Linked DNA regions of Caenorhabditis elegans. The protein of the gene in region 2 purifies or fractionates together with the protein of the main gene of each other region. This does not show direct contact. Each region holds a gene or a part of one and is shown on either strand. Other genes may lie near its edges.

What was found. Proteins that work in one complex are often made in the same cells at the same time.
Region 1: the proteins of chd-1 (region 2) and F13B12.1 fractionate together in Caenorhabditis elegans (co-fractionation; one large-scale study listed by BioGRID). This does not show direct contact.

Annotation. Positions count from the first base shown.
Region 1 is NC_003282.8:10,422,076-10,426,593, forward strand, and holds F13B12.1 (IWS1-like protein), read right to left. Parts: upstream 2,561-4,518; 5' UTR 2,544-2,560; coding exon 2,176-2,543; intron 2,122-2,175; coding exon 1,282-2,121; intron 1,236-1,281; coding exon 1,034-1,235; intron 793-1,033; coding exon 667-792; 3' UTR 535-666; downstream 1-534. Other genes in the region: F13B12.2 (Major facilitator superfamily (MFS) profile domain-containing protein), read right to left, coding at 4,221-4,316, 4,364-4,421, 4,466-4,518.
Region 2 is NC_003279.8:7,009,202-7,017,089, reverse strand, and holds the start of chd-1 (Chromodomain-helicase-DNA-binding protein 1), read left to right. Parts: upstream 1-1,866; 5' UTR 1,867-1,881; coding exon 1,882-2,011; intron 2,012-2,155; coding exon 2,156-2,298; intron 2,299-2,350; coding exon 2,351-2,587; intron 2,588-2,884; coding exon 2,885-3,505; intron 3,506-3,511; exon of another isoform or gene 3,512-3,570; coding exon 3,571-3,921; intron 3,922-3,967; coding exon 3,968-5,622; intron 5,623-5,785; coding exon 5,786-5,945; intron 5,946-6,122; coding exon 6,123-6,551; intron 6,552-6,597; coding exon 6,598-6,763; intron 6,764-7,041; coding exon 7,042-7,514; intron 7,515-7,563; coding exon 7,564-7,584; 3' UTR 7,585-7,888. Other genes in the region: pdi-3 (Protein disulfide-isomerase), read left to right, coding at 69-297, 660-736, 788-953.

The sequences.
Region 1 (4,518 bases), on a different chromosome or scaffold from region 2:
GGCGAAACTCGATTCGGATGAACACTTTTCGTGTTTACTCTAGAGATGCTGGTGTCTTTTGCACTGTCTCTCACAGGAAAACAACCTCCATTATTATTTTTTTGCCAATTTCAACAGGATTCCATGCATGCCCTCTTAACAAAACCTATTGTGAATTATTAATAACAAATAAAACCAACAACAACAGAATCATTGAATTCCCGGAAACTGAGAAAATTTAGATGGAGAGAATGGAAGTGAATCGAAAGCGGAGGGTACGCGGGAGAAATGGCGAGCTTTGTGTGCGAGCAAATCTTCAGGATGCTTCGTTGGGGCGCAATAGAGAGCATTAATATACAAGAGGACACAGATAGGTTGATAAGTGATTGGACCGGGAGGATGGCATCGAGGAGCACACTTGTCATGAAACACTTGTTCGGCCGTCCGTCCTCCCGGCTAGTTTGTGACCAATTTATCATTGAAATCTGTGAGAATGCATAGAGATTTTGAGGAAAAACCAATAGAATAGTGAATACAAATCACGATAAAAAAGTTCAAAGACAAACACATTTTATTCAAGACGATCAGATACAGAAAAAATTACATGTTGAAAACAGAGTACAACATTTTAAAGGTGTCAAAGAAAGGTAAATAAATAAAACAATAATTTGTAGTTTAACTCCGGGTTCAAATGCCCATGTTTCTTCCTTCGAGAGATACTTTAACAATCCGATTTGCCTTCGATTTTTTGGTTCTCTCTTGGAAATCGCGGAATGTCTGATCATATCTGTTGTTACCAGTGGATTTCTTCTCCTGAAACGCAAAATTGAAGCAAAATTAAAATTTATCTCGAATTTTTTCATAAATTAAAAAATGTATCCACTGATGATAAAAGGGTACTGGAGAAAATCAAATCTGCATTATAATTACGGTAGAAAACATTTTCGGTATAAAAATAGGTCCGTTTTGAGGTTGTTCCACAATTTGACTTTTAGATAGTTACGTAGTAATTTTAAGAATGTTCAAAAATTTACAATTTTTAAAACAAACTTACCCCCTTGAACGCTCCAGTAACTCTCCACTCTGGTCTGATGACGTAATCTTTGGTAGATGGCTTAGGAACACGTGCTCTTGGAATGTATCCCTTGTCTCCAGGTTTCAGATCATCAGATTTCGTTGGCCCCATTTCATCGGCATCCCTGATTCGTGGTCGTTTCGGTTGATCGTCATCATTGGGTTCTTCTTCATCTCGGCTGCTGAAATTTAATTTTAAAAAATATTTCAATTACTACTATTACTTACTTGATCTTCTTTTTCCTTTTCTCCGGCATTCTAGAATAATCCCTTTCTTCGCGTTCTTGCCTTGAAACGGTACTGTAGTCAGTATCTAGGTGATAAATTGGCCTGGCCCATTCTCCAATGAGCTTATTCGCAATTCCTTTATTTTCTTTCGTTTCATTAGGATGCTTATAAAGCATCATGACAGCCTTTCCAAGACCCGATTGCTTCAGTGTACTTCTGTCGAGTTTCCAAAATCGTGGATTATGAAGCAACTTGAGCACAGTTATACGAATATCAAGTGCCGGTAGGCATTTGTCTGGAAGTGGAGCAAGCCATTCGGAAAGAGCACTCATAAAGCCGTTTTCAATTAGAACTTCAACAATTCCAGCTCGAAGCATGATTGCCTTCACTTCAGGAAGCATTTTGATTTTCTGGAAAGCAGGCTTTCGTTCAATATTTGCATTTCTGTCAGATTTCGCCGCGTGTTTCATTCTTTCAACGAGCCGTGAAACGGTACCGTCATCGTCATTGATTATATCAATTCCTCCGTCTTTTCCTCCACGACGAGTTTTCTTCTTACGTTCTGCCTTTTTCTCGGCGAGCATTTTATCGAAGTCCCATTCAAAATGACGTCCATGCCTGTCTACTGGACCATCATCGTCGTCACTGTCGTAGGCAGGCTTTGAAGTTTCCTGACTTTCTTCTTCGTCACGGCCCTCCACAAATTCATCCAAATCATTCGTCTTTTTTGGTCGATCCTCGTCGTCGTCATCGCTGTCATCACCAAAAAGATTTTTTGTGGTTGGCTCTTTTTTGGAGGTGCCTTCATGATCAGAATCATCAGAATCGAGCATTACTCTTCTGAAATGTTAGAAATTAGTAAAACGTAGCAGGTTGACAATATTTAATTCTTACCTTTTCTTTCCTTCTGCATCACTTGCATCAGAGTCTATCAAAGCTCGCTTGTTCGCACTTTCCTCCGCATCAGAATCTTCGTCACTGTCTATCATAACTTTTGATTTGGTTTTGACCGGCGATGGTGACGGTGATCTTGAGCCAGCAGGACTTGCGGCAGATGGACTTGCTGGAGCAGAACTGTCACGAGCTGGACTAGCCGGAGCCTCGAACGATTCATCCTTGTAGATATCCTGAACATCTCCCGATGGTGATTCTGGGGCGTTTCCTTCCGAGCGAGGAGAAATTGGAGCCAATGGGGATGAAGCTCCTGATGAAGCAGGGGATGTTGGAGAAGCTCCATGCGACTCTTCTTCGTGGTCCGACATTCCGCAAAGTTCGAACACTGGAAAAAGTTATTTTCTTTGAAAGAAATACATATAAGGAATTAAAAATAAGGATTGAAATCGTATTAAGAGTAAACAAAGAAGACATTTCTGAAAATGAACATTAAAGGAGCAAAAATTCCAAAGTGATTGATTTAACATTGTAACTTTGAGTCAGATTTTGAGACATTTTATTGAAAGTACAGTTATCTTCGGAACGTAAAAGTATTTATCTATATTTCTATATAAATTCCCGAAAAAAACTACAACAAGATGAGAAAATTCCTTTAAAGGGGGTTATGTAAAAGTGCTGGAAAAATCTTTCGCACATGTAAAATAAAAACAACATTAAATTTTTATAAAATATCTGCGCGAGTTTTAATATGCAATGTACATTTCCACTGTTTTTAATTTTCACTAATAAAAACATACAATGACACAATAAAGCGGGGAATTGCAAAAAGTCGAAACTTGAATTTGATGAAAATTGCGAAAATTCTCCACCCGGAAACGCCAGCAACTTGAAGGAACTTGCAAAGAACTAATAATTTTCGATATGTTGTTGAAACTAAAGAAAAATTGATTTAAAAAGAGAAAAATCAATATGATAACTGGCAGCAAACAATAGATTAGTTTTTTGTTTGAAAAAAAACAAGTCTCTTCATCAACGATAAACAACACGCGCGGCGGGATTTCGGAGCGTCGTAGTCTGTAGGCAAAAATGCCTCTGCGTCTCCACAGGCCCCCGGGGCCCAAACTGCATCCAAACTCTTGCAATATTGCGGTGGCGACCTATCGCCACCCCTAATCCACATTCATGAATAGAAAAAACCGGCAAATATTGTTTAATGATTCTAGATTTTTTGCAAGAGAGCAAGAGATCATATCGTGTTTTTATATCTAGAGCCAAATGTTCATAATAAGTTTTGATCATTTCTTAGTGAATAAATTTCTAGAAAGTAAAAAACAGGATATAATCTGAAAACTCTTACTACCACAGTACCACTACAGTAACCCAACAGTATCCCTTAACTAACTCCAAAAAGAAAACAACTGAAATTTATTATAATTATTTGAGACTACAATTGTGACCTAGGTATTTTTAAAAATATTCATACACTTGCTCATATCTAGAATACACTTTAAAAATTAATTTTCAATTCGCAGTAAAAATCAGTAGTAAAGGATCCCAGTCATTGTGGTAAAAATGTCTACGGTAGCAAACGATCGAAATGGGATAACGTAGTAAAAAGTACGTCCGTAGCAAAAGAGTAGTAAATGTGGACAAATCGTAGTAAAAGATCTAAATGCGGAATTTGTAGTAAAAGAGAAACAGTACATATTTGAACACAATTTTCTTACAGTAGGGTTTTTAAAAATTAAAAATTCTGATTTTTCTTCAAAAAATGTGATGTTTCGGGAACTCTTTTTACAATAAAAGCTGTTTTCAAATAGAAAATGGTTCCATATTTTGCAGAATGTGACATTAATACTTTTCTGTAATAAACTATATATTTAGCGAAGCACCAAAATTGAGTCGGAATCGGAAATTTTAGTGTTTGCTTCGATTTGAATGATTGGTTCAATATCTGCTTTTTCAATAGCTAATATTGCAAAAAAGATAACGTATTTTATTATGACATGGAAACAAACAAACTATTTAATTATTGAAAAAGCGATTCAAAACAAAGTTGGTTCGTCAAGGTCTAATGTACCATAATTCGGAGCAATTGATGGTCCGAGATCTGTCAGAAGTCGTATTTCCAATGGATCAATCTGAATATGTTAAAATTTAAAATTTCAAAAAGCTTCTGGAGAAAAACCTTATAATGAAATTTAGTTTCTGGAAGTAACCTCCATAAAATCATTGAGAAAATAGACCTGAATAAAATTATTTGAAAAGTTATCGTGAAAAAAAAACGAACGTTGGAATAATAAATATCAAGTAACTCCATCCTCCAACAGTCTTACTCAATGG
Region 2 (7,888 bases):
CTCTGATATATTATCAGAAAATAATTTCAATGTTTTTCAACCGATATTTAATATAATAATAATTTCAGCGTTGACAATCTCCAGCAATTCGTTGATGAAGTTCTCGCCGGAAATGCCGAACCATACATGAAGTCTGAGCCAATCCCAGATGAACAAGGAGACGTTAAGGTTGCCGTTGGAAAGAACTTCAAGGAACTTATCATGGATGCTGATAAGGATGTGCTCATTGAATTTTATGCTCCATGGTGCGGACATTGCAAATCATTGGCTCCAAAATACGAGGAACTTGCTGAGAAGGTAGAATTTTTTGTTACATAAAATTAATACGACGTATTGTGAATAAGAATTCGCAACAGTTGGTTTTTTTTAAACATCTTCCCATAGTTCACATTTAAAAAGTTTATTTTTTACTTATTTTGAAACACGAATGTGAGAAAAACTTAAAAATAAAAATAGAAGTTAGCATGCAAGTTATTTTTTACATAGTAATTTTTTATTTATTAAAGTGCTTTTGTGATAAGCTTTCTGAAAGGTTTTTCAAAAATACAAGTTAACTTTAATTAAACTTTTTTAAATATTTAAGTTTACACTGGGAGACACTTAAAGTATTCAGGCTTGTGATATAATTTGTAAAATACTTTCAAATTTTGTAATTTCAGCTCAACAAGGAAGATGTTATCATTGCTAAGATGGATGCCACCGCCAATGATGTTCCACCAATGTTCGAAGTTAGAGGGTTAGTAATTTTATCCAATGCTGATCCTGAATTATTTGTATAATTTTGCAGATTCCCAACTCTCTTCTGGCTTCCAAAGAACGCTAAGTCGAACCCGATCCCATACAATGGAGGACGCGAAGTTAAGGATTTCGTCAGCTTCATCTCAAAGCACTCTACTGATGGGCTCAAGGGTTTCAGCCGCGACGGAAAGAAGAAGAAGAAGACTGAATTGTAATTGGATAATTATAGAGAATTTTTATCAAATCCCTCCCTCGTTGTTTCCCTTTTGTAATTTATTTATTTATTGTTTGCAGCTTCGACTAGGGTTCCCAATCGAAGAATTTTCAACTTGACGGTTGTTTCACGGTTTCTTTCTTGTTTTATGATGTAAAAAGGACCGTTTGGTGCCTTCATTATGGCGTTTCGTACGCCTTTTTTGCCAATAAACCTTCTGGTCTCTAATATTTGAGTTGTTCTCACACAAATACATGAAAAGCATCAATGTGGGAGGCTCTATTCTGACTAAAAATGCAAGTTTGAATTCGCGGTTAGAGTAACGAGCACTTTTGATCGCGAGCGGTTGCGTCGCGGTTGTGAGGTGTTCATGGCTGGGCGATTCGCTTTTTTCTGAAGTGCGCATCTCTTTTTGGACCGATTTCTTGGCTCACAAGCAGAATTTTTCGATTAAAATGTTTTCTATAGACAGCTAAATTTAATTAGTACCCTTTTCAGTTAAAAAAATATAGGAAATTGCACCGGAAAGTACTATTAATGGGCCTAGTGCAATTGTTTTTTATTCCGATGTTAACGGGGATCTAGTACCGTATTTAACAAATTGCACATACTTTTGAGAATTTTTGAATTATTTTGATGTTATTTTATTATAGTTTAGTGATGTTTGAAAAAAAAGTTTTTTGATTTTACGTCAGTGATTTCATTGATTTTTTTTTTGAATTTTTTTCCTCTTGTAAATATAACGGTATCGGCGCCAAAATGAAATAATTTGAATATTAATAAGATTGTTTGCTAAAATTAGCTAAAATAGTTATCAAAATAGTAATATTTATGAATATAAATATAATCGAACAAAATTTTGCTAAATTTTACCGTCTTTTTGGAATTTTTACGGGGTTTTTTGTTGAGAAAAAATAAGAATTTCAGATATGTGGAATCAGTCTGAATCATCATCTGGGAGTGATGCAGAACCTGATGAGAAAACAGATGAACCTGTGAGGGAAGAAGAAAATCCTGAAGGAAACAGTACCAGTGAAGATAATGATGAAAAAGAAAAAGGTTGGATATTAACTATTTTCAGAATTCATCAAATACATTTAAAATCTTAAGTATCTGAAATTTTGTGAACTACAAAAAAGAATGTTACATTACACGAATACTATTTTAAAAAAATAAGTTATTTTTATTTGACTCAATTTCCAGCTGCGGATTCACCTGAAAGTTCTTCTGATCAAAGTGACGACAGTGATGATGCTAGTGAAAACTCATCAAGTTCAGAACCAGATGAACCTGCCCCGAAGAAGAAAAATAATAATAATCGGGGGATGGATGCAGAAACAAGAAAAGTATGTGTCCAAAGATCAAAAACACAACAGAAATTAATTTAATATATTCCAGCTGCTTGAAAATGAAAACTACTTTCGACGTTCAAAACGATCAAAACGACAAGATGATTCACCGTCGGATAATTCCGAAGAATCACAATCTTCTGAAGATGATTGGGATGATCGACGAAAACCACGGCGAACAGTAACAAAAAAAGTTGTCAAGCAAACGAAAAAAGCAGTTTCAGTTGTAAAACGGAAGTCGGTGAAAGGAAATGTTAATTATGCCGAGAAAAATTCGGATGATGACGTGAGTTGTTGAAATATTCAAATATAGCGCCGAGTGGTCTCTCCGCGAAAAATATTTTTAGAAAATGTAATTCAGTAATGCGCCTTTGATACAGTAGGCCGCAAAAATTATTTTTTCCTTCATTTATTAGCTTCAATTTAAAAACATCTTAAAATTAAAGCTATTTAATAATTTTTTTAAGTATGAGTCGTAAAACTAAAATGTGGAACTAGTTTCGTCCGAACTTCATTTTAAAGACCTTTTCTAAAACTAAAATAATCTTAAAATTTAGCAGTTTCCTATATTTTATTTTTCCAGATCGACGATGACGACGTTCTTGAATGGGATGAAGAGCCAGCAGTACCCGCAGAAGGACCTGCAATTCTTACTGAAACTGTCGAAAGAGTTATCAAATGGCGGCACGGTGTACCTGGAGCAACGGGTTCTGCAACAACTTGTTATAATATTGCTGATAAAGGGGATCCTAACGATCAAATTCCCGGTGATAAGACAGAGCAGCAATTTTTTGTCAAATGGACAGGCTGGAGTCATCTGCATAACACATGGGAGTCTGAAAACTCATTGGCCTTGATGAATGCAAAAGGACTCAAAAAAGTTCAAAACTACGTGAAAAAGCAAAAAGAAGTTGAGATGTGGAAGCGGTCAGCCGATAAAGAATACATTGAATTTTTTGAATGTGAACAACAAATGGCAGAAGAACTTTGTGAAGAATACAAAAAAGTGGAAAGAGTCGTAGCTCATCAAACATCAAGAGATCGAGCTGCTGATGGATCAATGGCAACTGAATATCTTATCAAGTGGTCTGGATTACCGTACTCGGATTGTACTTGGGAAGATGAAAAGATGGTTGCACCTGAGCAGATAAAGGCTTATTATCATCGAATTGAAAATCTGAAATCTCCGAATAAAAATTCAAATGTTAGTTTGAAGGACAATTTATTTCACTTTTTATTATTAAACCTCTACAAAAAATAATAATTTAGGTCCTCCGGAAGCGCCCGAAATTTGAAAAATTTGAGTCGATGCCGGATTTTCTGAAAACCGACGGAGAATCAACACACAAACTTCGTGATTATCAACTTGAAGGTCTCAATTGGATGGTATACGCTTGGTGCAAAGGAAACAGCTCAATTCTAGCCGATGAAATGGGCCTTGGAAAAACAATTCAATCGATTTCTCTTCTCGCTTCATTATTTCATCGTTATGATCTTGCTGGACCATACCTCGTAGTTGTTCCTCTCTCAACGATGGCTGCTTGGCAGAAAGAATTTGCTCAATGGGCTCCTGAAATGAATCTTGTTGTTTATATGGGCGATGTTGTTTCTAGAGATATGGTAATAAATAATATTTGTATTTTTATATTGAAAAGTAGTTTTGTAGATTCGTCAATACGAATGGTTTGTCGGCGGAACGAAGAAAATGAAGATCAATGCAATTCTGACAACGTATGAAATTCTTCTCAAAGATAAAGCATTCCTGTCATCAATTGATTGGGCAGCTCTTCTTGTTGATGAAGCTCACCGTCTCAAAAACGACGAATCTTTGCTTTACAAATCTCTCACACAGTTCCGTTTCAACCATAAGCTTCTAATCACAGGAACACCTCTCCAGAACTCATTGAAAGAGCTGTGGGCTCTTCTTCACTTCATCATGCCTGAAAAGTTCGATTGTTGGGAAGAATTTGAAACAGCTCACAATGAATCGAATCATAAAGGAATATCTGCTTTGCACAAAAAGCTTGAACCATTTTTGTTGAGGAGAGTAAAGAAAGATGTTGAAAAATCGTTGCCGCCGAAGACGGAACAGATTCTCAGAGTTGACATGACGGCTCACCAGAAGCAGTTTTATAAATGGATTCTTACAAAGAACTACCGCGAGTTATCGAAAGGTGTCAAAGGATCAATTAATGGATTTGTAAATCTTGTGATGGAATTGAAAAAGTGTTGCAATCATGCATCCCTCACTCGACAATATGATCATATCTATGACGATGCCCAAGGAAGGTTACAACAACTTTTAAAATCTTCTGGAAAACTAATCCTTCTTGACAAGCTTCTATGCCGTCTGAAAGACAAAGGTCATCGAGTTCTGATCTTCTCTCAAATGGTTATGATGCTCGATATTTTACAAGAGTACCTTCAATTACGACGCTTTCCTTCACAACGACTCGACGGATCTATGCGTGCTGATCTTCGGAAACAAGCTCTTGATCATTACAATGCTCCGGGATCCACGGATTTTGCCTTCCTTCTGTCCACGAGGGCTGGTGGATTAGGAATTAACCTCGCCACTGCTGATACAGTAATAATTTTCGACTCAGATTGGAACCCACAGAATGATTTGCAAGCAATGTCTCGTGCACATCGTATTGGTCAAACAAAAACCGTGAACATCTACCGACTAGTAACAAAAGGTTCTGTTGAAGAAGAGATTGTTGAACGAGCGAAACGGAAGCTTGTATTGGATCATTTAGTCATTCAAAGAATGGATACCACTGGAAAAACAGTGTTGTCGAAGAATGCAACTGCCAGCGGAAGTGTTCCTTTCGATAAACAAGAACTTAGTGCAATTCTGAAGTTTGGAGCTGTTGAATTGTTCAAAGAGAAAGAAGGTGAAGAACAAGAACCTGAAGTTGATATTGATCGAATCCTGATGGGCGCGGAGACTCGAGAAGCTGAAGAAGAAGTGATGAAAGAGAATGAACTGCTCAGTTCATTTAAATATGCAAACTTCGCAATCGATGAAGAGAAGGACATTGCTGCAGCAACTGACGAATGGGCGGCTATAATTCCAGAAGAGGATAGAAATCGAATTCTTGAGGAAGAACGGATGAAGGAGTTGGCTGAAATGAATCTAGCACCGAGACAAAGAAAACAACCAATACCACAGGTTGTCGAAGATGATGATGGTGACGATGATGAAGAAGAAGATGATACTGGAAAAAAGAAAAAGAAGAAAGCAGTGGGAAACTTCACAATTCCTGAAATCAAACGATTTATCAAATCATTCCGAAAGTTTTCGATGCCTCTTAACAGGTACGTGCTTCTCATGTCTTATTAGTTTTTTGTTAACCTCTGAGCTCATTGAGTCGGCTGTGCCACTGCTTTGTAACTCTTCTCTCTAAACTTCTAAACTCTCTAAATTGTTCTCATGTTTTCTTTTCCCCAATCTTCCCCCACCCACCTGTGTTGTTTTTAGGCTCGAGGAAATTGCTCAAGATGCGGAACTCGAGGAGCACAGCACTGACGAGATGAAGAAACTTGTTGAAAGTTTGAGTGAGGCGTGCAAAAAAGCAGCCGATGAGTTCGACAGTAACGAGAAAAATGGTGATGCCGGTGCAGCGGAAAGTGAAAAGAAGGTTAGTTCGAATTTTTTGAGCCAACTTTTTTTTTGTTCATTGAAAATATTAATTTTCTCTGATCAAAACAATTGATTAATTTTTTTAATTAACGCGTTTAAAGTTTTTTGATGAAGCTAACTTGTGTTTGTTATGGAAATAATAATAATATGTATTTTATTAACAATTTTCTTGCAGGACATCGAAAGAAAATTCAAATTTCATACATGTGACGTTAATCTGAAGCAAATCGAACGAAGTCATGCTGAGCTGAAACCATTACACGAAATACTCAAGTCAGAAGAAACGAAAACTTCATTCAAACCACCAGCAAATGCTAAATTACAAAAAGGTTGGGATGTTGATTGGAGTCGACCTGATGACTCGGCATTGCTCCTGGGTGTCTGGAAGTACGGTTACGGTAGTTGGGAAGCGATAAAAATGGATCCTACTCTTGGATTGGCTGATAAGATTTTTATTAAAGACAAGACGAAAAAACCGCAAGGAAAAAACTTACAAGTTCGAGTCGATTATTTGTTGAAACTAATGTCCAAGGATAAAGTGAAGACAACGGAAAAAAAGGAAAGAAAACGAAAGGCAGATGATGTACCAGTTGGACCAGAAAAGGTTGGAATTTAATGTCTTCTTATTGAATATAATTTAAATTTTTCAGAAGAAAAGGCATACGAATAATGTTCCTCAAGAGGGAGAAAAGAAGAAAAAAGAAAAGAAAGAAGAGAAAAACAGCAGCAGTTTGAAAGATCAGCTAGCTCTTCTTTCGATTGATAAATCTCTTTATGGAGGTGCTCTAGAGGATAGCAGTGCCAAGCCATTCCTAGGTAAAAACTTTGAAAAAATATTTCAGAACTTACAGTATATGTTCTAAGACATTCAGATATGAATTTGACTGCAAAGAAATGTGGATTTTTAGAAAAAATAGTATTCTTAAATTAAACTTCATATGTCTGAAATTCGAAAAAAAATAATAATAACAGCTCTGGCTTCTAATCATCCTATATTCATTTATGAAAGTCTAAGAACATCTATTGTAAGTTGAGTTGAAATTAACTCCAAATCTATTCCATTAAAAAAATCAAAAACGTTTATGAATTTTCAGAATGTGTGAAGCTTTGCATGCCGGTACATAAATACATGAAAAAACTGAAGGAAGCGCAGGAAGCCAAAAATCAAGCTGACGAGGCCAAATATCTTACCCGACTCGGCGACTCGTTCCTTGAAAACCTCGAAACTCTTATAAAAAAGAAGCCAAAAACAAATATTCGAAAATGGTATAACTATTTGTGGATATTTCTTTGCAAGTTCACTCTGAGAGAACCTGGAGAAATGGCTGACCGATATAGAAGTATAACTTCTGATAAACACAAAAATCACCATCACCATCACCATCATAAGAGTAAGGAGGAGAAGCCGAAAGAAGCCAAAGATCACAAGGAAAGGGATCGAGAGAAGGACAGAGAAAGGAATCGTGGAGAAAGGCGGATGGATCATGGTGAAGGAACTAGTAAGGACCATCATCGGGAACATCATAAAGATCATCACAAGGATCATCACCATCGGGAGCAACATAAGGTATTCATTAAGAAAACAACAACATTTTTTTGATGTTTAATATTTTCAGGAGAAAAACCGCCGACATTAGTCTAACTCCATCTTTTCGTCTACCTGCACACACTACACTCACGGGTTCTTCGTAAACTGCGATATAATTTCCATCATCCCGTTTCTCTTTCCCCAAAACATGTCAATTTTTAGTTTTCAAATTCGTTGTTGATAAATAGAAATTCTTATTCATTTCTAAATGATATAATCCTAATTTTGTCCGTTTATTTGCCATTCCTTATCCATCTAGCTCGATTTCTTTTCCTGTTTTCTTTGGTCGGGTTTACTTTTTTTTGTTTTTATTTCAAATGTTTATCACATTTCATCTTTTTTTGTTTCCTTTA